Linked DNA regions of Oryctolagus cuniculus. The protein of the gene in region 1 binds, or shares a complex with, the protein of each later gene. Links are inferred from orthologs where the notes say so. Each region holds a gene or a part of one and is shown in the gene's direction. Other genes may lie near its edges. The genes, in order: SMARCD1, SMARCC1, ARID1B, ARID2, DPF3, PBRM1 and DPF1.

Region 1 (3,500 bases):
TCTGTTCACTTTTCTTGTTCCCAAGTTAGAGAGCGAGGCACTTCTAGGCAGATACGGAGTGAAGAAGAGTACTTCCTCCTCAGAGCAGCATTTCTCTGTAGTTAGACAGCGTCTCTCTGTAGTTAGACAGCGTCTCTCTGTAGTTATCGTCTTGCCTTCCTCGCTTTGCTGCAGATTCTATCCAGTCAGGGGCCTGAACCATCACTCACCTGGTAGCAGTTCCTATACCCTATAAGTTGGCACTGGAGCTGGTCTGTCCTGTATTCCCGTGCTTAAAGTTAGGGATGTGTGTGTGTGTACACATTATTTTCAGCGTCAAAGGTTGGGGCTGGCGCTGTGGCTAGGTGGATAAAGCTACCTCCTGTGACACCAGCATCTCATATGGACGCTGATTCGAGTCCCGGCTGCCCCACTTCCGATCCAGCTCCCTGCCAGTGTTCTGAGAAAGATGACCCAAGTGTTTGGGCCCCTGCTACCTATGTGGAGACCCAGGTGAAGCTCCTGGCTCCAGCCTAGCCCAGTGCTGGCTGTTGCAGTCATCTGAGGACTGAGCCAGCTGATAAAAGGTCTCTTTCTGTCTCCCTCCCTCTGTGACTCTAACTTTCAAAATAAATAAGAGGGTTTTTTTTTTTTTTTTTTTAAAGTTGTGTTTGTTTCAAAGGTGGAGTTACAGAGAACAGGGAGTGAGGGAGAGATGTCTTCCGTCTGCTGGTTCGTTCCCCAAATGGCCTCGCCAGCTGGAACTGGGTCAGTCTGAGGCCTGGAGCCAAGAGCTTCTTCCGGGTCTCCCACGTGGGTGGTACGGGGCCCAGGTTCTTGGGCCATCTTCTGCTCTCCCAGGCAGTAGCAGGGAACTGGATCAGAAGCAGAACAGCTGGGACTCAAACCAGCGCTCCTATGGGATGCGGGCAGCATCCTTACCTGTTGTGCCACAATACTGGCCACCCCCAAGTGTTGTCTTAATCACTGTGCCAACTACCCGTTCCTTACCTTTGACTTTGTAAAAAAGCCAGCCCTGTCGAGGAGTAATTTATATTTCGTAAACTGTAGCCATTTGAAGTATAGTTTGAAGACTTTGGGCACCTGTGTACACTGGGAAGCTGCCATTGCAATGAAAGGCGAGAAGGTTCTGTCACACCTGAAAGTCCTCAGGCCCTTTTGGAGTCGGCTCCTTTTCCTGTCCCTGATGCTGTGTTGTCAGATCTTGGGACAAACCCCTCACCAGGCCGTTTGCTTCCCTCCCCAGTGTTGACCCGAATGATCAGAAGAAGACAGCCTGTTACGACATTGACGTGGAGGTGGATGACACCTTGAAGACTCAGATGAATTCTTTCCTGCTGTCCACTGCCAGCCAGCAGGAGATCGCGACCCTGGACAACAAGGTAGGGGCCCCGCCTAGATAGCGTGGCTGTCGCCAGCAGGCCACCTTTTGCTGCTTGGTATTCATTCTGAATAAAGGGCACTTCATGAAGGACGGAATTGAGAGGTAGATCTGTTGTGACGTGAGGAAATTCGGAGATGCATCGGAGTGCTTTTGCATGCGCGTTTCCTGGGATCTTTTTGAGGGTTCCCCAATACGTGGACAGCCAGCGTCTGTCAGGTGCCGTGGTTGGTGCTGATTGGAGTCAACCTCCCCATGAATCCCCTCCTCTGGACTCTGGCTGCCCCTTTTAATAGCATTAAGCCTCCGTCTTTCTGATCTGTGAAGTGGGGACCATTAACACCTGTTCCTCGGAGGTTGCCATTCGGAGTCAATGAAATCGTGTGTGTAAAGACATGAGTGTGTTTCCGGCGTGTAAGAACAAGAGTGGGAAATCCTGCTGCTGTCGCTGCTGTCTCCATTCTCCTACTAACGGTAGACAGAGTCCCGGACAGTGAAGTCACTGGGGATCCAGGGGAGAACAGGGAGAGCTGATGCACTAGTAAACCCTGAACGACCACATGGAAGTTCCCACAGGGGTGGAAGGGTAGCAGGGCCGGGGACCTTAGGGGCAGAGGGCAGTCCAGAAAGATGGAGTGGGCTCTATAGACTTCCAGAAGTGAGAGAGAGCCCGGCGTGTTCAAGAAGAACAAGCTGTTAGGGCTCTAGACACAGCACAGGGTGCTGGGCAGGGAAACAGGAGCCTGATCATGAAGCTTTGGTGCAGGGAGAACTGGTTTGCGCGTCGTCCTGGACAGGAGGCCGGGAGTCTGCTGGGGCGAGCATCCCCAGTGGAGGTGGGGGCGCTGTTGCATCTGGAGCGATCACTGGCAGGAAGTAGAAAGAGGGGCAGATCTGGAAGCCGCCGGAAGCCCCAGTGAGGCTGGTACAGTAATCCGTGTGTGAGCTATTGGGGCTTTCAACATAAGGCGTGCCCAGTGAGGCTGGAAACGGGTCGACAGGCTTGACGGGGCCTCAAGTGCAATCAAGGGATTTGGCCACTGTTTAGATGGGAGTGAGGGGTGGAGTGCTGAGGGGGAGGCATTGAGAGGACTCCCAGGCTGGTGGCAGTGATGGGCAATGCTGGGAGCAGAGGAGGAGAAGCAGGTGCGGGGAGAGGGCCATGAACTTCGTTTTGGATGTGGTGAGCGTCAGATGCCTTGCAATGTCGAGACAGTAGCCAATCTGCTTGGCGTTCAGGAAATGGACTGCTGACTGGGGAGCTGTTCCCCTGTCGGTGTACACAGAAGACGTACAAGACAGACATTGCCAGGAAGAGTGTGCAGAACAAGGAGAGAGCTGGGAACCAGACACCTGCTGAGCCAGCCCTGCGCGCCTCCTTTTCCACCTCACAGTTGTTTGGCGCCTGTTTCTGCTTGGATTAAGTATTCTTTGCAGCTGTGCCCATGGTATGTATTGAGGAGTCGAGAATGGAAACTTCTCTCACAGGAGGTAAACAGAGAGACAGAAACAGGTGCATATCACCTGCTGGGGAGCCCCAAGGCCGGAGCAGTTGGCACCCTGTGCAGTGGCGCTGGCTCTGAGCTGGATCTAGGCCAGGAGTGACACACAGAGACATCAGGTGCCGCTTCATTCTGTTTGTCCAGCTTGAAACTGGTATAGCTTCCATCTCGCTTTCAGATCCATGAGACGATAGAAACCATCAACCAGCTGAAGACGCAGCGAGAGTTCATGCTAAGCTTTGCCAGAGACCCCCAGGGCTTCATCAATGACTGGCTTCAGTCCCAGTGCCGAGACCTCAAGGTAAGGAAGCCGGGGCTGATCCGCGGGCCTCAGATCTGCGAGGCACTCGTCTGCTTTATGGCAGAGCACCTGGTGGAAGAGCCAGGCAGGGAAGAGAGAGTGCACCCAGGTTTGCTTGAGCACGCCCCAGGGTCCAGGTTACAGTGAAGTGGGGAAGCAGAGGCACGCTGTCGGGTGCTGACTTAGTGTCCGTGCTCTGTGGCATCGGGGATTTGCGGTGCAAGGCCTGGCTCTGCCTTCAGCGCAGCCGTCAGTCTGGAGAAACCAGGCCAGTGTGATTAGAGTAGGGAACCAAGTTAAGACATTATTAGAACTG
Region 2 (4,131 bases), on another chromosome or scaffold:
CTCACCGGATTTTCTCACAAGCACTTGGTCACTTTCTGCTCTGGGATCATAGCATTATGTCCATAGCTCTGTTAGGGATAACCATACTTGGATAAAAACTCAATATGGGGCCAGAATTGTGCACAGTGGGTTAAGCCGTGGCCTACCTCACCAGTATCCCCTATCAGAGGGCCAGTTGGCATCCTGACTGCTCTGCTTGTGATCCAGGCAATGGAAGATGGCCCTGAGTAGTTGGACCCCTGCCCTCAGTGTGGGAGACAAAGACAGAATTCCAGGCTCCTGACTTTGTTATAGCCACTTTGATAAACAACCAGCAGATGGAAGATAGTTTTTTCTGTCTTTCCCTGTCACTCTGCCTTTCAAATACATAAACCAATCTTAAACTCAAAACCTCCATTCCTGCGGGCCATACATTCCCCAAATATTTGTTAGCTAACAGGCAGAGTGGCTGGCGTTGTGGCTCAGTGGGTTGAGCCGCCAGTATCCCATACAAGCAACCTGTTCTAGCCCCAACTGTCCCACTTCCCATCCAGTGCCCTGCTGATGCGTCTAGGAAAGCGATGAGTGACCCGGATGCAATTTCAGGCTCCTGGCCCAGCCCTGGCCGGTGCAGCCATTTGGGGATGGAAAATGTCTCTCAACTCCGCCTTACAAATATTTTAAAAACAAAACAAGAACAGGCTGTTTCCGCAGCGCGAAGGGTACACCTGTGAACAAGATTAGGTTCTCATGCAGTCTATCTGCGCACACACACAAATAATAAAAACATCGGGTCACGTTCAGGGCTTCGCAGAACGTGTGAGCCACGGCTCAGGGGCCGGCCTTCGGAAGTACTTCCAGGCTGTGAAAGCGGCCGAGGCTCATGGGTGAAACCACAAAGCAAGACCCAGGAGGTCGCCGAACAACCCAGCGCGCAAAGGCCATAGGCAGGAAGGGGCGCGCGTGGCCGGGGCCACGAGGGGCGCGGAGGCCGCCCCGCGCCGTACAGGGTCCGGGCGAGCAGGGCGGGCGCGCAGCCGCACCGCGCCCAAGCGCCAAGGCCCGCAATCCGCAAGGGCTTCTCCCGGGCACTTATCAGCCCACGCCTTCCGTCGGCCAGCACAGACCCTCCTGGCGGCTGTCCACCGCGTGAGGCGCGCACACAAGAACCACAGGAAGTAGAGAGGCAGCCCCCGTGGCGCGGCGGAAGAGGCGGGCGGAGGCGCTGGCCCGCCGGCAGGGCACTGCGCAGGCGCGCGCGCGTGCTCGCGACGGTTACGGCGCCGGGGCCAACTCGGGGCGGGGTCGGGCTTCCGCGCCGGAAAGGGGTTGGCTGGGCGGGGCTGAGGGACGGCGGTGGTGGTGGTGGCGGCGGCGGCAGCAGCAGCGGCTGCGCGCGCGCGCGGGTGCGAACGGGGAACGCTGCGAGGGCCGGGCCGTGCCGGGCGGTGGGGACGACTGACGGCGACGATGGCCGCGGCAGCAGGCGGCGGCGGCGGCGGGCCTGGGGCAGCGGCAGGCGCCGCGGGCGCGGGGGGTGCGGCGGCGGCCGCGGGTCTGGCGGTTTATCGACGGAAGGACGGCGGTCCGGCCAGCAAGTTTTGGGAGAGCCCGGAGACAGTGTCCCAGCTGGATTCGGTGCGCGTCTGGCTGGGCAAGCACTACAAGAAGGTGGGTCCGCGCGCCCTTGGGGACCGGGAGGTCGCGCGGCGGGGGCCGGCGGCGGTCCCGGGCTTGGCGGGCCCCGGGGCCGCCCCTCCCCCCGCGCGCCACGAGGGACAACAAAGGCCGGCGCCGGGGCTGCCACGCCCCCGCCGGCCGCCCTGGGCGCCCCTCCGGCTCCCGCTTGGCTGCCGGGGGTCCCGGGCCTCGGCCCTGGGAGCCCGAGCGCTCGGGGCGGAAGCTCCTGCGGGCCTCGGTGCGCGACAGCCGGGCGGCGCGTGTGTCTTTTGTTGGCCGCCTCAGGTGTGGGAACAATGACCCCCCCCCCCCCAGTACCCAGCCGGCGTGGGCGCGCAGCCTCGGGGTTCGTCCCGAGAGTGGCCTCCGAGTGGAGGAGGACCCGGGTTTCGCTGCCCGCGGCTGGTTTGCCGCAGGCCTGTGGACGCTTGTCCCGGGCTTCACGTCACGACCAGTGGCACCGAGGAGAACTCGTGTCCGGTGAAGAAACGACGGGTTTTGGTTGTGCCCGTCTGCATGCTGCGAGTTCGAGGCTGTGTTCACCTGTGCCCTTCAGCCAGGCCTTCCCTGAGGACCCGCAATGTACAAGCGCACCCTACTTCGTGTCACCTTTATTTAATTCCTAGTGCTGGCCGCTGCCTGAAATTTGTGCTTGCTTGTTTCTCCTACCTTTGGGATTAAATTCTGCTGAATCATAGGTTTTCAAAGTTGTGACTTAACCCTTTGTTCAGAATTTTGAAAACCCTTTAAGTTTATGCTTCATGTAAATATTCCCAGAATGATTGCCTTGTAAGGTGGATGAAGCAGACAGCCACTCTCTGCCTCGAACTTCCCAAGCACCCTCTTTGACTTGTGCTCTCCCCCAGGGAGCAAGGGCACTGTCAGGCCTGTACCTGCTCTGGAACACGGTCGGTGCTCGGTGCCTCCCCTGAGCAGTTACTCAGTAAATACTTGCTGAACGAATGAAAAGATCGAGGTGTCTAGGAATCTGTTAGGGGTCTGCAGCTCAGTGAGTCTGTCTGTTTCAGCAGTCGTTAGGTGAGGGCAGGGATCTTGGGTTCCTTTGAGGTCGCTCACACTGATGCTTTCTTCAGAAACCACCGTTCCTGCTCTGAAGTTTGAGGAAGTGAGAGACAGTAGTCACATTTTTGGATGCATTGATTTTTTACCCCCTTTGAAGTTACATATGGGACTGTAGATTTTTCTCTACAGTATTGCTTTCTGTTGTAGTGACAAATTGGTCACTTTGTATATGGAATATAGCTTCTGGAAGTGGCTCACGGAGTTGAATATGTTCCAAAAATGTTAAATTTTTTTTAAAGTTGGTAATTTTCTCATCCAGTGCTTTGGGTCTTAAGGTCAAAGAAGATTTAACAAGAAAAGATTATCAGGAGTCATATTCCTTTGAAAATCAAGGAAAAGAGTGGAAAAAAAGTCAATGATAGTTATTTTGACTTCTCCAAATAATCAGTGTATTAATTTTGGTCCATTTTAAAGAGGGCTGCTTTATGCCTGGGTAATACCTCAGAAGTTTGAGTGACTGGGAAAGTAGCTAAGAGGCAGACTGAAGGATTTGACCCACAGCGTTGAGGCCACTAGGCCAGTGTTGACACACTGTTCCTGAGGCTTTAAAGACAAAGTCAAAGTTAAGTTTGATGTCTCAGGGCTTTGTAGAATCAGAATGTATTTCTTGGGCCTATCCAGGTTCAGAATTGTATATATCTCTTATGCCTGACAGCCAGAATTCTTTCAGCTTCCGGGAGTCATGTTGAAGTGGTAAAAATCCTAGTCAGAAGGCTCTTTGATTCTTTTTTGCATACTGTATTTCTGCTTGGTTTGTGTTTTGGTGGGTTTGAACTAAACATTTGTTTTGCATTTAGTAATGCATTTTCAGAGCAGTTAAAAAAAATTTTTTTTTTAGTACTTATTTGAAAGCGTTAAAGAGGGAGGTAGAGAGAGAGGTCTTCATCTGTTGATTCACTACCCAAATGGCCGAAATGGCTGGAGCTGGGCTGAGCTGAAGCCAGGAGCATCACATAAGGGCTGCGAGCACTTCAGGTGGCGGCTTTGCCTGCTTTGCCACAGCACTGCTCCAAGGCTAAGGTTTGTGGTGTGTGTTTTTTTTTTTTTTTTTTTTTAAGATTTTATTTATTTATTTAGAGGTAGAGTTACAGACTGAAAGAGGGAGAGACAGAAAGGCTTTCCATCTGCTGTTTTGCTCCCCAAATGGCTGCAACAGTTGGAGCTGAGCCGATCCAGGGGCCAGGAGCTTCCTCTGGGTCCCTGACGTGGGCACAGGGGGCCCAAACACTTGAGTTATCTTCTGCTTTCACAGGCCACAAGCAGAGAGCTGGATCAGGAGAAGAGCAGCTGGGACACAAACTGGTGCCTATATGGGAAGCCTGCGCCACAGGCAAAGACTCAGTGCTGGCCCCGCCCCCCCGGGCTAATTTTTAAGCCGATGATTTTGTA
Region 3 (4,130 bases), on another chromosome or scaffold:
ATCTAGCTTATCAATCTGAATAAAAGCACTGTATGATTATTTGCATATAGTTTGATTATCAATGTCTGAAGCATAAACAAGATTGATTTTAGAATACATGTATATAGATACATAAAACATTTATATTTGCATATGAAAACTTTAAAATGCAACATATGTGGTTAATACGTATAATTAGTATGTATTTGAATATATAGAGAAAAGCCAGGGAAAAAAATGTCAAAAGGCCCACTAAAAGAGATGTAGTGTTCTCTTGGCACAAACTGATGATTTGGCATGACTTCCTCTTACAGTTCTGTTATTGTCTCTTACCCGTTTTCCAGTTGTTTGGACAGAATGGCAATTTGTTGTTTCTTCTCCAAATAACGACCCTTGGGTGTGCGCCTGGCTCCCCGCCCCCACCAGTCACCAGTAGCTCCGTCTGGCTATCTGTCTCTAGTCAGGTAACATGCTTACACTTGGTCAAGCATACATAACTAGTGCATCCGAAACAAGCCGAAATGCTTGCTATGGAAAGCTGAGGAATGAAATGATTTTGGAAAACTATACTCTACCAAAATCGTGTATCTCATTTCTGGGAGTGTGACCCCTGGAGAGCTGGAGAGTACTTCTTAAGAAGTACTGTTACTAAAGATACTCATAATGATACTAGGTGGTAAACTCATAATAAAAACTGTTGCAATACACAACTGTGTACTATTTCTGCTTTTACATTAGATTGGACTGTTTTATAGTTATTGATCTTGTATTTATATTACATTTAACATCTATTGAGTTTTGTTTCATGTTACTTGGAAAGAAACTTTCTCAAGAGGGTTCTCTGTGCCCGTTACCCTCTGAAATAACGCTGGAAGGTGCTACTACATCACCGGAGGGGGGGGGATTCGACTTTGGACAAATAGTGGCATCTGCGTGGGAAAGCTGTGTGCCGCGTGACCCTCGGCTGCGTGTGCCCGAGACAGAGAGGACACAGGGGTGCGAGCTCTCCCCACAGACTCCTTGCACAGGAATCTAGGGTGCCTTAAAAACAGCCACGTAGCCATTATCTCTGGGGCAGGTGCCGGCATCGGTGAGCATCCATTGAGTACCTGCTGTGTACAGGGCTCTGTGCTCTTCGAACGCGGCTAACCCTCCCCGAAAGCCCTTCCTGAATTCTGCAGTTGGAAGAAGTTGTGGGAATCACGCCGATGGCCAGGAATCAAGGCAGGGAGGCCAACGTTCTGGAAAATTACATAACTCCTGTGAGAGCCAGCGCTTTTGCAGATCGCCCAAATATTTTCTTTCCTCCGTGGGCTCCTCGTCACCTCGGAGGCCCACGGACAACTTCGTGCCCCAGCCCTTCTTCCCTCTTTTGTCTGCTCGCCACAGACTCGTTTTTCCACCTTTGGAGCGTTCCTTTTAGACGCGAAAACAAACACGCGAACGCCCGGTTGGCAAGGAGACGGAGGCACGAGGGGAAAGTGCAGCTCCGGCCGCCTCTCGCCGCCGCGCTCCGAGCGGCTGCCCAGCCGGCCTTGGCCCGGGCCTGCGCGCGGCCCCCGGCCCCCGGCCCCCGGCCCCCGAGGCTGCGCCGGCACGGGCGGGCGGCTGCGGCCCGCGCCGAGTCCAGTCCGCGTTTTGCGAGTGCACAGGAGCAATCAGAGAGAAGTGGGATAATAGTTGCTCCAGCTCGCTCGGCTCCTTCTCGTGCCATGCTGGGCCCGATAGGCTCAGCCGGTCGTGTATTTACCCATATCCGGGTTAGAGAGGAAAAGAGAAAAGTTTCGTTTAAACCTGAACTAAAAACTTTCACCGTGAAAGCACACAGCGGGAGCAGGCCCAGACCGTAAGGCGTGCCCCGGGCCCGGCGCTCCGGCGGGGCCTGCGGAGGGGGAGGGGGCCGGCGGCTTCCCGGCGGGCCGCGTGGATGCGCGCAGGAGGGGCCGCGGCCTGAAAAGTGGGGGTATTGTCTCCCCCCGCCGCCCGCCCGGCCTCGCCACGCCGCGGCGATCATGGCCGCGCGGGCAGCAGCGGCGGCGGCGGCGCGGGCGCGGGCGGGCAGCGGCGAGCGGCGGGCGCCCCCCGGGCCGCGGCCGGCGCCCGGGGCCCGGGACCTGGAGGCGGGGGCGCGCGGCGCGGCGGCGGCACCGGCGGCACCGGGACCCATGCTGGGGGGCGGCGGCGGCGGCGGCCTGAATAATGTGCACCACCACCCCCTGCACCCCCGTCACGAGCTGAACATGGCCCATAACGCGAGCGCCGCGGCCCCGGCCGCCGCCGCCAGCACTAGCAGCGCCAAGAGCGGCGGCTCGGAGGCGGCTCTCAAGGAGGCTGGAAGCGCCGCCGCGCTGTCCTCCTCCTCCTCCTCCTCCGCGGCGGCGGCGGCGGCGGCGTCCTCCTCTTCCTCCTCGTCGGGCCCGGGCTCGGCCATGGAGACGGGGCTGCTCCCCAACCACAAACTGAAAGCCGTTGGCGAGGCCCCCGCCGCACCGCCCCACCACCACCACCACCACCATGCCCACCACCACGACCACCATGCCCACCTCCACCACCACCACCACCATCACCACCACCACCACGCACTACAGCAGCAGCTAAACCAGTTCCAGCAGCAGCAGCAACAGCAGCAGCAGCAGCAGCAGCAACAACATCCCATTTCCAACAACAGCCTGGGCGGCGCGGGCGGCGGCGGCGGCGCGCCTCAGCCGGGCCCCGACATGGAGCAGCCGCAACATGGAGGCGCCAAGGACAGTGCCGCGGGCAGCCAGGCCGACCCCCCGGGCCAGCCGCTGCTGAGCAAGCCGGGCGACGAGGACGACGCGCCGCCCAAGATGGGGGAGCCGGCGGGCGGCCGCTACGAGCACCCGGGCCTGGGCGCCCTGGGCGCGCAGCAGTCGCCGGCCGCCGTGCCCGGGGGCGGCGGCCAGGCGGCCGTCTCGGAGTTTAATAATTACTATGGCAGCGCTGCCCCTGCTAGCGGCGGCCCCGGCGGCCGCGCTGGGCCTTGCTTTGATCAACATGGCGGACAACAAAGCCCCGGGATGGGGATGATGCATTCCGCCTCAGCCGCCGCCGGGGCCCCCAGCAGCATGGACCCCCTGCAGAACTCCCACGAAGGGTACCCCAACAGCCAGTACAACCATTATCCGGGCTACAGCCGGCCCGGCGCGGGCGGCGGCGGCGGCGGCGGCGGAGGCGGAGGAGGAGGAGGAGGCAGCGGAGGAGGAGGAGGAGGAGGAGGAGCAGGAGCAGGAGCAGGAGCAGGAGCGGGAGCTGTGGCGGCGGCGGCCGCGGCGGCGGCAGCAGCAGCAGCAGGAGGCGGCGGCGGCGGCGGCGGCAGCTATGGGGGCTCGTCCTCGGGGTACGGGGTGCTGAGCTCCCCCCGGCAGCAGGGCGGCGGCATGATGATGGGCCCCGGGGGCGGCGGGGCCGCGAGCCTCAGCAAGGCGGCCGCCGGCGCGGCGGCGGGGGGCTTCCAGCGCTTCGCCGGGCAGAACCAGCACCCGTCGGGGGCCACCCCGACCCTCAACCAGCTGCTCACCTCGCCCAGCCCCATGATGCGGAGCTACGGCGGCAGCTACCCCGACTACAGCAGCCCCAGCGCGCCGCCGCCGCCGCCGTCGCAGCCCCAGTCCCAGGCGGCGGCGGCGGCGGGGGCGGCGGCGGGCGGCCAGCAGGCGGCCGCGGGCATGGGCTTGGGCAAGGACATGGGCGCCCAGTATGCCGCTGCCAGCCCGGCCTGGGCGGCCGCGCAACAAAGGAGTCACCCGGCGATGAGTCCCGGCACCCCCGGACCGACCATGGGCAGATCCCAGGTAACCCCCGCGCCGGCCGGGCCTGCTTCCGCCCGGCGGCCTCGCCGCGCCGCGAGCCCGAGTTTCTTTCTTTGCCGCGTACTTTTCCCCAGTTTTCTGGTTGGGGGGCGGCGGGGGCGCGGCGCCCAGGGCCATCTTCGCGGGCGGCCGCCTCCCGCCGAGGTCGGGCGCGCGAGCGTCCGCCCGCCGAGTCCGGGCCGCGCCGTGCGGGCCGCGCAGGGCTTCGCCCGCGGCCGCGGGCCGGGCCGGGCGCTCCGGTGCCCGGTGGACCCGCAGCCTCGCCCCGCCGGCTCTCCCGAGGCGCTGGGGTGGTGACGGGATTCCGAGACAGCGCCC
Region 4 (3,500 bases), on another chromosome or scaffold:
CCTCCCACTCCCCGTGCAGATGTACTACCAGCAGCAGCCAGCGGCGACGCCTGTGGTTCGTGTCGATTCTCTTCCTGACGGGTCTCCAGCTCCTCCACCTGCAGGTAATAATTTCTATTGTGTTTTAAGCGTTGTATTATGTAAATTTAAAGTGTACAGCTTTTCCTTGTTTTTCTGGTAGTGCTTTCTTACTTGAGCTGTTATTTTCTCATAATCATATGATTTGAAGTTGCTGAATATTAATTTTTTAACGGTATTTTTTTGCATTAAGTAAAGTAAGTCCTAATTGCAGACTTCCAGTGCATTTCATTTGAATTTTGGCTTTTTTCCCCCTGTTTTCAGGAATCCCTCATGGATCACAAGCTGTAGGAAACCATTATCAGAGGACTCCTGTTACCAACCAGTCTTCAAGCTTGACTGCAACACAAATGTCTTTTCCAGTACAAGGTGTTCATACTGTGGCTCAGACTGTTTCAAGAATTCCACCAAATCCTTCAGTTCATACCCACCAGCAGCAGAATGCTCCAGTGACTGTCATTCAAAATAAAGCTCCAATTTCTTGTGAAGTTGTTAAGGCGACAGTAATCCAGAACTCTGTGCCCCAGACAGCAGTTCCTGTTAGCCTTGCTGTGGGAGGAGGGCCTCCCCAGACTTCTGTGGTGCAGAATCCTAGTGCAGGGCCACAACCTGTTACCGTTGTGAACTCCCAGACTTTGCTACACCACCCATCTGTAATCCCACAGCCGTCTGCATTACACACAGTGGTACCAGGACAGATAGCTTCAGGCACCCCTGTTACAGTAATTCAGCAAGCGGTCCCACAGAGTCATATATTTGGCAGAGTACAGAATATACCAGCATGCACTTCTGCAGTTTCACAGGGTCAGCAGCTAATCACCACCTCACCCCAGCCTGTGCAGACTTCATCTCAGCCGACGTCAGCTGGTAGCCAGCCACAGGACACTGTCATCATAGCACCCCCACCATATGTAACAACCTCTGCATCCAATATTGTCTCAGCAACTTCAGTGCAGAATTTTCAGGTAGCTGCAGGACAAATGGTTACTATTGCTGGTGTCCCAAGTCCGCAGCCCTCCAGGGTAGGGTTTCAGAACATTGCACCAAAGCCTCTCCCTTCTCAGCAAGTTTCATCAACAGTGGTCCAGCAGCCTATTCAACAGCCACAGCAGCCAGCCCAACAAAGTGTAGTGATTGTAAGTCAGCCAGCTCAACAAGGTCCAACGTATGCACCAGCCATTCACCAGATTGTTCTTGCTAATCCAACAGCTCTTCCGGCTGGTCAGGCAGTTCAGCTAACTGGACAACCAAACATAACTCCATCTTCTTCACCATCACCTGTCCCATCTACTAATAACCAGGTCCCTACTGCCCTGTCATCATCTTCCACCCCTCAGTCACAGGGACCACCCCCTACTGTCAGTCAAATGCTGTCTGTCAAAAGGCAGCAACAGCAGCAGCATTCACCAGCACCCCCACCACAGCAGGTACAAGTACAAGTTCAGCAGCCACAAGTCCAGATGCAAGTTCAACCTCAGCAAGCAAACGCAGGAGTTGGGCAGCCTGCTTCTGGTGAGTCGAGTCTGATAAAACAGCTGCTGCTCCCAAAGCGTGGTCCTTCAACACCAGGTGGTAAGCTTATCCTCCCAGCTCCACAGATTCCTCCCCCTAACAATGCAAGAGCGCCTAGCCCTCAGGTGGTCTATCAGGTGGCCAATAACCAACCAGCAGGCTTTGGAGTGCAGGGGCAAACTCCAGCTCAGCAGCTGTTGGTTGGGCAGCAAAATGTTCAGTTGGTCCAAAGTGCAATGCCACCCACAGGGGGAGTGCAGACTGTGCCCATCTCGAACTTACAGATATTACCAGGCCCGCTGATCTCGAACAGCCCCGCAACCATTTTTCAAGGGACATCTGGCAACCAGGTAACCATAACAGTTGTGCCAAATACGAGTTTTGCAACTGCAACTGTGAGTCAGGGAAATGCAGCTCAGCTCATCGCTCCCGCAGGAATCACCGTGAGTGGCACGCAGGCAGGAGTTGGGCTTCAGGTGCAAACGCTTCCGGCCACGCAGGCATCTCCAGCCGGACAATCATCATGTACTACTGCTACTCCCCCATTCAGAGGTGACAAAATAATTTGCCAAAAGGAGGAGGAAGCAAAGGAAGCAACAGGTTTACATGTTCATGAACGTAAAATTGAAGTCATGGAGAACCCGTCCTGCCGACGAGGAACTACAAACACCAGCAATGGGGATACAAAGGAAAGTGACATACAGGTGGGAAGTCTTTTAAATGGGAGAAAGTACAGTGACTCAAGTCTACCTCCTTCAAACTCAGGGAAAATTCAGAGTGAGGCCAGTCCATGCTCACTCTTTAGTAATGGGCCATCGACAGATTTCGGTGAGAATGGAGCATCTGGAAAACAGAACTCAGAACAGATGGACGTGCAGGATATCAAAAGTGATTTGAAGAAACCCCTGGTTAATGGAATCTGTGATTTTGATAAAGGAGATGGTTCTCATTTAAGCAAAAACATTCCAAATCACAAAACTTCCAATCATGTAGGAAATGGTGAGATATCTCCAATGGAACCACAAGGGACTTTAGATGCCACTCAGCAAGATACTGCCAAAGGTGATCAATTAGAAAGGATTTCTAATGGACCTGTATTAACTTTGGGTGGTTCACCATCTGGAAGCAGCATACAGGAGGCTTCAGCCCTGGCAGCACAGCAGTCTAGTGGTACTGATTTGCCCAATGGACCTCTAGCTTCAAGTTTGAATTCAGATGTGCCTCAGCAACGCCCAAGTGTAGTTGTCTCACCACATTCTACAACCTCTGTTATACAGGGGCATCAGATCCTAACAGTTCCTCACTCAGGACCCCGAGTGTCCCATTCTGCCCTGTCATCTGACGTTCGGTCTGCAAATGGCACAGCAGAGTGCAAAACTGTCAAGCGGCCAGCAGAGGACAGTGACAGGGAGACAGTCCCAGGAATTCCCAGTAAAGTCGGAGTTCGGATTGTTACAATCAGTGACCCCAACAACGCTGGCTGCAGTGCCACAATGGTTGCTGTGCCAGCAGGAGCAGATCCAAGCACTGTAGCTAAAGTAGCAATAGAAAGTGCTGCGCAGCAGAAGCAGCAGCATCCACCAACGTATGCACAGAATGTGGTCCCGCAGGTGAGTCACCGCACCACGGTGTGCCTCTTACCCACTGTTCTCGGTCGCTGATGCAGCCTGGAGGTGATGCTGTGGTCGCTCGCTCACACTCGGGCAGGCCTATGCTTTTTCTCCGGCTGTAATAGGACACTTTTCAGTTGTTAACCATGACACATGGTTGGATCTTTGAGGTTTTTTTGTGACCCAAATTAGTAATCTCAAGGTAGAGAACATCTACCTAACATCATTTGGAGAATTTAGAAAATTCTGAGCCTCTGTCTTTTTTGAGTGCTTCTATGTTTGATTTACACACACATGTTT
Region 5 (3,500 bases), on another chromosome or scaffold:
TCCATCAGGAGTTCTGCAAGTTCTCATCAGTGTGGTGTGGCTGACATTGTGGCATGGCCAGTGTGGTCAGCATGATTCCTGGAGGGGAGCTGGAACAGTCAGGTCACCCTGAACAGGGTGGGCCATCGGCCTGGGCTGAGCTGTTGTAAGTTTTGTCCCACTGTGCTACATCAGCTGGGTTGAGGAGGCATTTAAGCTGGTGTGACACAGATGCACATTTTCTAGGAAATTATTATTCTTGATCAATCTGGTGATCCTTGTCACCAACTTTGATTACATCAGCTTATGTGCCATTCAGTTTTATAGCATTTTAATGGGCTTTCACCCTCCCCTCCCAAATTTATTTCCAGCTGTGTGACTATTCTAATTTGATTATTTTTTTGATTTTGCAACTACCGGCACAGTTTCTGAGCATGCTATGCCTTCCTTGGGAGTACGAGGATCTTCAGGGGGTGAAAAAAACCAAAGCTTTCTTTTTTTCCAGATGCTTGTCAAAAAGTTGATTAGTTGTATTCTCCCAGAGTAAGATGTTTGCTTGGAACTCTTTGATAGAATCTGACCCATTGATTTTCTAAAAACAGTATAGAAAACTTCATTTAGAACTTTGCTTTCTAACAAGTAGTGGTGAAGATGGGGTAACTGGAAGCCTGGTGCACTGTGGGTGGGAATGTGAAATGAGATAGCCACTAAGGACAATCATATGAGTGGTTGCTTGACAGATTGAAAATGGGACTACCGTATGATCCAGCAATCCCACTCCTGGGTGTGTGCCCGAAATAATTAAAAGCAGGGACTTGAACAAGTACTTATATGCCCAGAGTCCATGGCACCATTATTCCCAATAGCTCAAACGTGGAAGCAACCATGGATAGAAGAATGAATAAGCAAAATGTGGTTTATACAGACAATGGAATATTATCTAACTTTAAAAAGTAAGGTGCTTAGATGAACTGAAATCAAAGGCAGGGAAAGTCGAGTGTTGTTTGCCAGGGTTGGGGAGAAGGTGGAATAAGGAGTTAGTGTTTAAGCGGTAGAGTTTCACTTGCACAATGAAGAGTTCTAGAGCTGGATGGTGGTGATGGTTGTGCAACCACGTGAAGGTACTTAATACCACTGAACTGTATACTTAGAAATGATTAAGATGATCAATTTTATGTCTGTTTTTAAAAAAGAATTGTAAAAGCCCAACTTGGCTTTCTTTATTATATTTTGGTTAAGAAAAACCAGATTTTTTTTTAATTTTTATTTTTTGACAGGCAGAGTGGACAGTGAGAGAGAGAGACAGAGAGAAAGGTCTTCCTTTGCCGTTGGTTCACCCTCCAATGGCCGCCGCGGCCGGTGCGCTGCGGCCGGCGCGCCGCGCTGATCCAATGGCAGGAGCCAGGAGCCAGGTGCTTTTCCTGGTCTCCCATGGGGTGCAGGGCCCAAGCACCTGGGCCATCCTCCACTGCACTCCCTGGCCACAGCAGAGAGCTGGCCTGGAAGAGGGGCAACCGGGACAGAATCCGGCGCCCCAACCGGGACTAGAACCCGGTGTGCCGGCGCCGCTAGGCGGAGGATTAGCCTAGTGAGCCGCGGCGCCGGCCGAAAAACCAGATTTTTAACCCAGAGATTTTCTCTCCTAGATTTTGACTTTCTCAAATCTACAATAGAGCCAAAAAGGACTCGCAATGCTGGTTCAGAATGAGCGACCTGATTCTCCTTTGCACCTCCAGTTCCTGTGTCTCCTCCCCTTCTCACCTCCCTCCCCTCCCCAAGAAGTTCAAATTTACCTGGCAGATGTTATTTTTTTAAAAAATTTATTAATTTCACACCTTTCTTTTTTTTAAAAAAAAGATTTTATTTACTAATTTGAGAGAGAGATTTACAGGCAGAGAGAGGGAGAGAGAGAGAGGTCTTCCATCTGCTGGTTCACTCCCCAGATGGCCTCAACAGCCAGAGCTGTGCTGATCTAAAGCCAGGAGCCAGGTGCTTCTTCCTTGCCTCCCATGTAGGTGCAGGGGCCCAAGGACTTGGGGCATCTTCTACTGCTTTTCCAGGCCATAGCAGAGAGCCGGCTGGGAAGTGAAGCAGCTGTGCCTCAAACTGGCACCTATATGGGATGCTGATGGCACAGGCAAAGGCTTAGCCTACAAGCCACAGCACTGGAAGTTATGTTATTATATTTCTATTTCCTTAAGCCATTTATTACCCTCCACCACGTGCCTCTGCTTTATTTATTAGGCATTTGATCTCGTTGATTATTTTTGTGCTTTACATTAGATTAGTTAAGTCAATGGCATGTTTTTGGTCTTCAAAAGGACACCTTCTTAACATTAGCATCACCGTATGTCTGTGGATCCCAGAGACTTGAAAATGTAGAATTTCCTGGGCTTAATCAGATCCACACTCCAGCAAAACAGGTCTCGCTACTTGTGTTTTAAACTCCCAAGAGTTGAATGATTCTGAGCTCAACTATTATTTTGAATGCTGCTTTTGTTTGCTTCCCATCAGAGAAAGTCATTTTTCTTGAAGGATGTGGTTTCAAAGTGTGGGTGTCTGTCCCTGTCTGCCCCGGTTCCCCTGTGAATCGCTCTGCGTTGCGGCGAGTTGCAGCCTCTGGTCAGAGTGTTTCTCTCCCGCAGTGGCAGGAATCCGGGTAGCTTGGCTGGGAGCTTGGGTTCCTCTGGAGCGTCTGCCTGTGACTGCAGAGCACAGGGCGTGGGTCACGACGGCTGGGAGGGGGATTCTAGAAGCAGACCCCACGCGGCATGTTGTTCCGGAGAGAGGCCACATGCTTTCTACGGCGCGGCCTCGTCACTGTTCCTGGTGGCTCATTCGCTGCGCTCCAGGCTGTCTGTTGATGGAGCTTCGGGTTGCCGGTGGGTTTGGGGTTGGAAATAGAACCTGGCGGAGGCGCTCCTGGCACTGCGCTCCGTGCGCTTCGTCTTGATCCTCATAACCGCACAGATTCTTCCCGGGAGATGGATGCGGGGGCGTCGGGTTGCCTCTGGGGCTGTTTCGGGTTCCCCCGGCCTCATGCCTTCCGTCCCTGTCTCCCGCAGGCTCGGGGACCAGTTCTACAAGGAAGCCATCGAGCACTGCCGGAGCTACAACTCGCGCCTGTGCGCGGAGCGCAGCGTGCGCCTCCCCTTCCTGGACTCGCAGACCGGGGTGGCCCAGAACAACTGCTACATCTGGATGGAGAAACGGCACCGAGGGCCAGGTGAGCCGCGCCGCCCCTGGGTGTGCGGCCGCCTGGCTGGAGCCGGGAGGACAGGGCTGGGGAACCCACCGGGTGGGATGGGGGCTGCACGTGGTCCTGGCGCGGGTTCCAAGGAATGTCACTAGGCCTGGGTGGGACACCGAATTCCGGAGGCATCCTGCATATGTGTCCCCAAGAGAAGGCCAGGCCCGTGGAGAGCAGCCCTCCCCTGTCCCTCTGTGGTGTGGGTCCCAGGCTGGAAATCTGCACGCAGATCTGGGCGAGAGGCCTTGTCACCAGACCTCTGCCCCTCAGC
Region 6 (2,905 bases), on another chromosome or scaffold:
GGTGCCCCTGGCACGACACAGATGAACAGGGGGAGCAGAACTCTGTGGATTTGTGTGTGCTGCCCTGCAGAGCAGTGACAGAGGCAGTCTAGGGAGTTCCATTGTGTTGGGGAGTCCAAATTGGATGAGTGTCTAGAATGGAGTGGGGCAGCTTACCAGATGAACCATGCATTCACAAATAATCACCAGGATCCTACTGTGGTGATCCAGGTACACTTAGAGTGTTGGAATATAAAAATCCTTGCTTTTAAAGTAGAAGCTTGTTTCTTAGTTTGTTTTTCCTCTAACAAATAAAAGAATGCCTAATACTTCTTGGAAGTGGCATTTAGCAGTTGTGACCCTAGAATAATAGACTACTTTTGGCTGATCAAAATACCAGCATTTTTAATCCAGGGGAACTATAGACGCTGGAGGTAGCTTCTCTGAATCCTGCGCAGCCAGCGGGACTTATTAAGCTTTGGTTGTGCTTTGTGTGTTAGTTTTTAATAAACTGGGCTCCTTGCCTGTTTGTGTTTTATCAGAATCACAAATGGAGAGCCTTGAGATAAAAATAGCCTCAGACACTAAATTTAGGACATTTCATTATTATCAACAAGTGCCTGTGAGATGACAACTGTTCATGAGCGTTCACTAAGGGAAGTCTACCTGATTGTTCCCAGAGACAGTACAAATATAATGGCGCATTAAGTCTTTGTTCCTTTGTCGTTTTAGCAGCAAGGCTACCCCACTTCCACATGATCTCTTTTCAGAGTGATTCTCTATCAGATGGAAGCATCTTCTCTCTGCCAACACTAGTAACTCCGGTTAGAGCCAGGTGCTGGTTGCTGGCCTATGAACAGACAGCAAGGCTACACCTCCAGACTCCACAAATTTAATTCACTGTTTCCATAGCCTTTTCCTTTGTGTCCCTAGTATCCTAGCATATTGCTTACTGCTAAGCCTGATTTTCAGTGCCATTCCTGCTGAAATTAAACACAGGCCCTATTTATAGGACAATCTATTGTCAGAAGAAAAATACCTCAATAATAGAGGTATATTCTGACTAATGCTCACCTAGGGAAGTACTAGGGTTTTGTGCAGAGTTCAAATCCTTTCTAAGCCATAAGCAGTGGATGTGCATCTAACAAGTTACACTAGCATTGTGCCTTAAGTACCTAGAAACAAAAGAACGTAAGTTTTCTATTTGAATCCTGTTTGGGGTGCTTAGGGTTCCTGTCCACAAACACTCAAGAGCAGAGGTACATAGGGTGGCATTATGAATGTCATCATTTCTTATCAGACAGTAGTTTTTCAGTCATCTCAACCCAGAGCCTCTAATTGTGCATTGCCTTCTGCATTATAGGTGTCATGAACCAAGGAGTGGCCCCTATGGTAGGGACTCCAGCTCCAGGTGGAAGTCCTTATGGACAACAGGTGAGCCTCCCATTTTGATTTTCTGCATTAGAATTCTAGTCATCTTCCTTCTTAGAACATGTGCCCAGTATCTTTTTGCTTCACCATGTGGTCCTGTGCTCTTTCAGGTGGGAGTTTTGGGACCTCCTGGGCAGCAAGCACCACCTCCATATCCCGGCCCACATCCAGCTGGCCCCCCTGTCATACAGCAGCCAACAACACCCATGTTTGTGGCTCCCCCACCAAAGACCCAACGACTGCTCCACTCAGAGGCCTACCTGAAATACATTGAAGGACTCAGTGCTGAGTCCAACAGCATTAGCAAGTGGGACCAGACCCTGGCAGGTAAGAGTCCTTCCAAATAAACCTGCGTTCTCAAAGCCTCCTCACTGCTATTGGCATCTTCTACAGTAAGCGTCTCTCTTTCTTACACAAGTAAAATAAATTATGTCTTAGTTTGGAGCTTCTTTGCCTATTGACATCACACACTGAAATAGGGGTTTTGTGGCCAAATTTCAAGCTTAGTTTTGTCACAGACATCACTTTGCAAATAGAATCTTTTTCTTTTTCTTTCTTTCTTTTTTTTTTTTTTTTTTTTTTTTTTGGACAGGCAGAGTGAACAGTGAGAGAGAAAGGTCTTCCTTTGCCGTTGGTTCACCCTCCAATGGCCGCTGCAGCTGGCGCACTGTGGCCGGTGCACCACGCTGATCTGAAGCCGGGAGCCAGGTGCTTCTCCTGGTCTCCCATGCGGTGCAGGGCCCAAGCACTTGGGCCACCCTCCACTGCACTCCCGGGCCATAGCAGAGAGCCGGCCTGGAAGAGGGGCAACCGGGACAGAATCCGGCGCCCCGACTGGGACTAGAACCCGGTGTGCCGGCACCGCAAGGTGGAGGATTAGCCTAGTGAGCCGCGGCGCCGGCAGAATCTGAATATTTTTCAGGCAGTTGGGCATTAGTGTAAATCTATTTGGGTAAATTAAAAATTATTCAGAGGCAGTCATTTGGCCTAGAAATTAAGAAGGCAATTTAGGATGCTTACGTCCCATGTTGGAGTACCTGGCTTCAAACTCTGATTCCCACTTCCTAATTCCAGCTTCCTCCCAATGCAGACCCTGAAAGACATTGGTGATGGCTAGAGTAATTGAGTTTCTGCCACTAATGAGGAAGAACTGGGTTGAGTTCTCAGCTCCTGACTTTAGCCTGGTTGAGTTCCAACTGTTGCAGGCTTTTGTGGAGTGAACCACTGGATAGAAGATTCTGTATCTTCCTTTCTTTGTCTTCCTGTCTCTCTTGCCCTCTGCTTTTCAAATAAATAAAATTATTTTCTTCATTAAAAAAGAAAAAGAGTAGCAGTTATGTTTTCCTTTTGTTCACATGTGTACCTTTTTAGGCATTTTTGTTAGCATCAAAGTAATTAGTAAATACTAGGGGCGCCTATAATAAAATAATGATTGGATCTTTTAGAGCCTAGTAAAATGATACAAGAAATTTACTTGGAAATATTCTGTAGTTAA
Region 7 (3,666 bases), on another chromosome or scaffold:
GGCTGGGGGCAGGGTGAGACGGTGAGAGCCCCTCTCTCTGTCCCTCCCACCCCTAGAGTTTTACAAAGAATTGGCCTGGGTCCCCGAGGCACAAAGGAAACACACAGGTAGGGCCGCTCCCTGCGTGCCCCCCCACTCCAGCGTGCTCCCCCTGCAGCCGCCTTTGCCGGGCGCCCCGCCTGCCCTGTGCCCAGCCCCGCTCTGCTCTTTCAGCCAAGAAGGCGCCTGACGGCACCGTCATCCCCAACGGCTACTGCGACTTCTGCCTGGGTGGCTCCAAGAAGACGGGGTGTCCAGAGGACCTCATCTCCTGCGCGGACTGCGGGCGATCAGGTGATCCTGTCCCGGGCGGAGATGGCGGGTCCCAGAGCACCCTGGGCGCACGGGGGCGCTGCAGGGCCCTGGAGCTAACTTGGCTGCTGAGGCTGGGCAAACCCACTGGGGTCGCCGACTGGGGAATAGTGGCGTGTGGTTGGACGGCACTGGGGGAGTGCCATGTGCTTATCATGACACCGAGTGAAGTGAGAAAGGCATTGTGGGTAGCGGAGTAATGGCTTGCCACTGTGGCTTCCAGGCTGTGCCCGCCGCAGACCCGTGGCTAACGGAGTGTGGTTTCCCAAGATGGACTTGTGGGCAGGGGCCTGTCTGTGGTTGCCTCCACACGGTGGGTGGTGACCTGGGCTCGCCGCGGCCATCTGGTAGAATGGGGTGTCCTTGTGCGGGCAGCAGGTGTGTTGGGTGTCAGCCCCCGGGGAGTGGCGGACAGACTAGCACTGCACACCACTGTCAGTCAGTCACAGCTCGGCTGCTGGGGTGTCGCATGGAATGGGCCTTGGCTGCATGGAAGCAAGGTGTGGGGACCCAGCTGTGGCAGGCGGGGCTGATGTGGCCGCCACGTCACTGCGGTGAGCGGCTGTGGTTGTGGGTAACGGGACGTGGCTGCCTCAGCGCGTTGGTTAACAGACTGTGGTTGCCACGGTGTTGTGGGCGGTAGAAAGTGGTTGCCACAGCACTGTGGGTAATGGAATGCGGTTGCCATGGTATTCTGGGAGCAGTGTGGTTGCCATGGCGGCGGGGTAGGAGCCGGTGATGGCCACGGTAATGCTGCTTGCCGTCCGGTGTCCGGGCACTGAGGGCAGGGCAGGGGCAGGGGCAGGGTCAGTCTGTGGACCACAGCAGCTCACTCCAGCCTAATGAGCGGGGGTCGGGGCTGAACCCTCTCCTCGCCAGGGGACGAGGTCCTCCTAACCGCACCCCGCCCTCGGCCCCCAGGACACCCCTCGTGTTTACAGTTCACGGTGAACATGACGGCGGCTGTGCGCACCTATCGCTGGCAGTGCATCGAGTGCAAATCCTGCAGCCTGTGTGGCACCTCGGAGAACGACGTGAGTGCCCCCCCACCTCCCCCAGGACACGCCCCCGCGGCCCTCCCCGCCTGGCGCCTAACGCCTTCCCGGAGCCCCTGAGCGTGAACAGCAGTCATGTGCATGCCTTGTTACTGGTAGCCTGCGTCCTTTAGCTGGCCCGGCCCCTTCCCCTCCACACCTCCTCTCTGACCCAGAGGTAGGTGCCCTGGCCCACTGCGCAGAGAGGGGACGTGGCCGCCCAGGGCCGCCGGCTAGGACAATGGTAGTGCCTGCCTCCCAGGGCTCCCAGGGCTGCTACCCGGTCACCTCAGAGGACAGTGAGGTCACCTTAGATGCACAGAGCGCAGGTGGCCTGCCGGCAGCCTGCAGGCGTCCCCGCCCAGCCACGAGTCCAAGGTGCCAAGACCTCTTGCAAGGGACTGCTTCCCCCCTGCCCCCGGGACCCGAGCCCCTGCCCCAGCCCCCCACCCCGGTTTCTGGTGCCCGTGCCCCCAGGGTGCCAGCTGGGCGGGTCTCACCCCCCAGGACCAGTTGCTGTTTTGTGACGACTGCGATCGGGGTTACCACATGTACTGCCTGAGTCCCCCCATGGCGGAGCCCCCGGAAGGTGAGAGAAGAGGCAGGCGCGCGCGTGGGGGAGGGGGCGGCCGGGCCTGGGCCTGACTCTGTCCTCTGGCTGTCCCTGCAGGGAGCTGGAGCTGTCACCTCTGCCTTCGGCACCTGAAAGAGAAGGCCTCTGCCTACATCACCCTCACCTAGGCCTGGCTCTGCCTCTCCTGGGCCTCTGGGGTGGTGCTCCCACCTGCCTCTCCGGGTCCTCCTCTCGCCCTCGCCACCCAGATGTCCCACAGTGGTGGGGGGGCCGGGCCGCCCTCCCCTCTGTGCGAGCGGAATGTTGGCCCTGTGGGTTGGTGGGCCCAGTAGGGCCCCTCTCCCTGCCTCCCTCCCCACCCCTTGGCAAATGGGCACCAGGAACTTCCGCTCCCCTCAAAGCCATACCCCGCCTCTGGGCGGGCACAGGGGGGTGGATGCCAGCCAGGGGCTTGGACAGAGCCTTTTTCTAAAGAAAAAGACAAAAAAGTTAAAAAAAAAAAAAAAAGAAATTAATATATACAGAGTCCGCTAAGGCCTGGCTGGAGGGAGGGGCACTGCGAGCGCGTCCACTGGGCACCAGTCTCTGCCAGCTTCCTGTCTGGCGCCCCCTCCCCCCCCCCCGTTTCTGCAGCTGCAGCTGTCCCACCTCCCCACCCAAGGTGGGCACCATCCCCCCGTCGTGAGCACGCTGAGCGGGCATGGTGTCCACCCCGCCCGCTCCAGGTGCCCACCGTGGATACTGCATGATGTGAACCATGGTTTTCCGAACTCTGTTCCCGCCCCTCCCTGACAGCCCTGCCCTGTGCCCACCGCATGCCCGCCAGGGCTGGGGGTGGTGCCCGGCGGCGGGGCAAGGCGGGTCCCTGCCCAGCGCCCGCTGGAATGAGAAGCACAGACTGCAATGGACTCGTTCTCCCCCTCCCCGGCCCCCCTTCCCCACCCGGCCAGGCCGGGCTGCCCCTGCCACCCTCGCTGGCCATTTTGGGGATGGCGAGGGGGTGTGGTTGTTTCTTGTGGTTGTGTGTGTTTGTCGTTCGGGTTTAAAAAAAAGGGAACTTGAGACTGCAAATGGGGGAGGTGGTGGGCTTGGGGGTCTCCCCCCATCCAGGAGCACCCCTCCTTGTAAAGAGTCTCCTTTATTGCCTGCCTCTGCTGTGAATTAACTTGTTCTGTGTATTAAACCGGGCCTGACCCCTCTGCCACGACTGCCTGTTCTCCAGCCTGCTGTGGGGTGTCACCACGACGGGGATGGGGGGCCCTCGCTGGGGGAGAAGCAACTGAGCCGGCCCCTCCGGCTCCTCTTCCCCCGCACCCGCCCCTCTCTGGCTTTGTCCCAGCTCCTCCCAGCCTAGCCGGAAAGGAGAAGGGGGATGGGGTGGAGGGGGCTCCCACCCAGCCAGCTGTGGTTGCCCTGGCAACGGGCTGCTGCAGCTGCAGCGGGAGGCAGCCAGGAGGGAGGTGACAGGGGCTGGGGGAGGGAGGGCTGGGGTGGCCGGGGCTGGAGATCTAGAGGTGTCACTCAGACTGGCCATCACTTGGGGCTCCCTGACCTGGGTGCGGGGCAAAGCGAGCGAGAGGAGACGTTAGGGGTGGGCAGAAGGAAACATCTAGACTCAGGGTGATACATCAGGAGAAAGACTGAGGTTTAGGGGTGTGTGTGGGGGGAGAGTGAGGGAGAAGCGGGCCACAGACCATCAGGGGAGAG

The links.
Region 2: SMARCD1 (region 1) and SMARCC1 share a complex: the UniProt entries of both Homo sapiens proteins name them as parts of the BAF complex. The link is inferred for Oryctolagus cuniculus from reciprocal best matches to the Homo sapiens genes SMARCD1 and SMARCC1.
Region 3: SMARCD1 (region 1) and ARID1B share a complex: the UniProt entries of both Homo sapiens proteins name them as parts of the neuron-specific chromatin remodeling complex. The link is inferred for Oryctolagus cuniculus from reciprocal best matches to the Homo sapiens genes SMARCD1 and ARID1B.
Region 4: SMARCD1 (region 1) and ARID2 share a complex: the UniProt entries of both Homo sapiens proteins name them as parts of the SWI/SNF-B (PBAF) chromatin remodeling complex. The link is inferred for Oryctolagus cuniculus from reciprocal best matches to the Homo sapiens genes SMARCD1 and ARID2.
Region 5: SMARCD1 (region 1) and DPF3 share a complex: the UniProt entries of both Homo sapiens proteins name them as parts of the BAF complex. The link is inferred for Oryctolagus cuniculus from reciprocal best matches to the Homo sapiens genes SMARCD1 and DPF3.
Region 6: SMARCD1 (region 1) and PBRM1 share a complex: the UniProt entries of both Homo sapiens proteins name them as parts of the SWI/SNF-B (PBAF) chromatin remodeling complex. The link is inferred for Oryctolagus cuniculus from reciprocal best matches to the Homo sapiens genes SMARCD1 and PBRM1.
Region 7: SMARCD1 (region 1) and DPF1 share a complex: the UniProt entries of both Homo sapiens proteins name them as parts of the neuron-specific chromatin remodeling complex. The link is inferred for Oryctolagus cuniculus from reciprocal best matches to the Homo sapiens genes SMARCD1 and DPF1.

Annotation. Positions count from the first base shown.
Region 1 is NC_091442.1:53,425,896-53,429,395, forward strand, and holds part of SMARCD1 (SWI/SNF-related matrix-associated actin-dependent regulator of chromatin subfamily D member 1), read left to right. Parts: intron 1-1,246; coding exon 1,247-1,382; intron 1,383-3,061; coding exon 3,062-3,184; intron 3,185-3,500. UniProt on the Homo sapiens protein: Involved in transcriptional activation and repression of select genes by chromatin remodeling (alteration of DNA-nucleosome topology).
Region 2 is NC_091441.1:101,097,169-101,101,299, forward strand, and holds the start of SMARCC1 (SWI/SNF complex subunit SMARCC1), read left to right. Parts: upstream 1-1,331; 5' UTR 1,332-1,449; coding exon 1,450-1,650; intron 1,651-4,131. UniProt on the Homo sapiens protein: Involved in transcriptional activation and repression of select genes by chromatin remodeling (alteration of DNA-nucleosome topology).
Region 3 is NC_091436.1:10,839,573-10,843,702, reverse strand, and holds the start of ARID1B (AT-rich interactive domain-containing protein 1B), read left to right. Parts: upstream 1-1,330; 5' UTR 1,331-1,991; coding exon 1,992-3,794; intron 3,795-4,130. UniProt on the Homo sapiens protein: Involved in transcriptional activation and repression of select genes by chromatin remodeling (alteration of DNA-nucleosome topology).
Region 4 is NC_091440.1:136,620,721-136,624,220, forward strand, and holds part of ARID2 (AT-rich interactive domain-containing protein 2), read left to right. Parts: coding exon 1-104; intron 105-342; coding exon 343-3,200; intron 3,201-3,500. UniProt on the Homo sapiens protein: Involved in transcriptional activation and repression of select genes by chromatin remodeling (alteration of DNA-nucleosome topology). Required for the stability of the SWI/SNF chromatin remodeling complex SWI/SNF-B (PBAF).
Region 5 is NC_091451.1:18,897,046-18,900,545, reverse strand, and holds part of DPF3 (zinc finger protein DPF3), read left to right. Parts: intron 1-3,044; coding exon 3,045-3,205; intron 3,206-3,500. UniProt on the Homo sapiens protein: Belongs to the neuron-specific chromatin remodeling complex (nBAF complex).
Region 6 is NC_091441.1:97,173,613-97,176,517, forward strand, and holds part of PBRM1 (protein polybromo-1), read left to right. Parts: intron 1-1,342; coding exon 1,343-1,413; intron 1,414-1,520; coding exon 1,521-1,737; intron 1,738-2,905. UniProt on the Homo sapiens protein: Involved in transcriptional activation and repression of select genes by chromatin remodeling (alteration of DNA-nucleosome topology). Required for the stability of the SWI/SNF chromatin remodeling complex SWI/SNF-B (PBAF).
Region 7 is NC_091449.1:16,363,328-16,366,993, forward strand, and holds the end of DPF1 (zinc finger protein neuro-d4), read left to right. Parts: intron 1-56; coding exon 57-107; intron 108-213; coding exon 214-333; intron 334-1,272; coding exon 1,273-1,385; intron 1,386-1,862; coding exon 1,863-1,974; intron 1,975-2,055; coding exon 2,056-2,126; 3' UTR 2,127-3,166; downstream 3,167-3,666. UniProt on the Homo sapiens protein: May have an important role in developing neurons by participating in regulation of cell survival, possibly as a neurospecific transcription factor. Belongs to the neuron-specific chromatin remodeling complex (nBAF complex).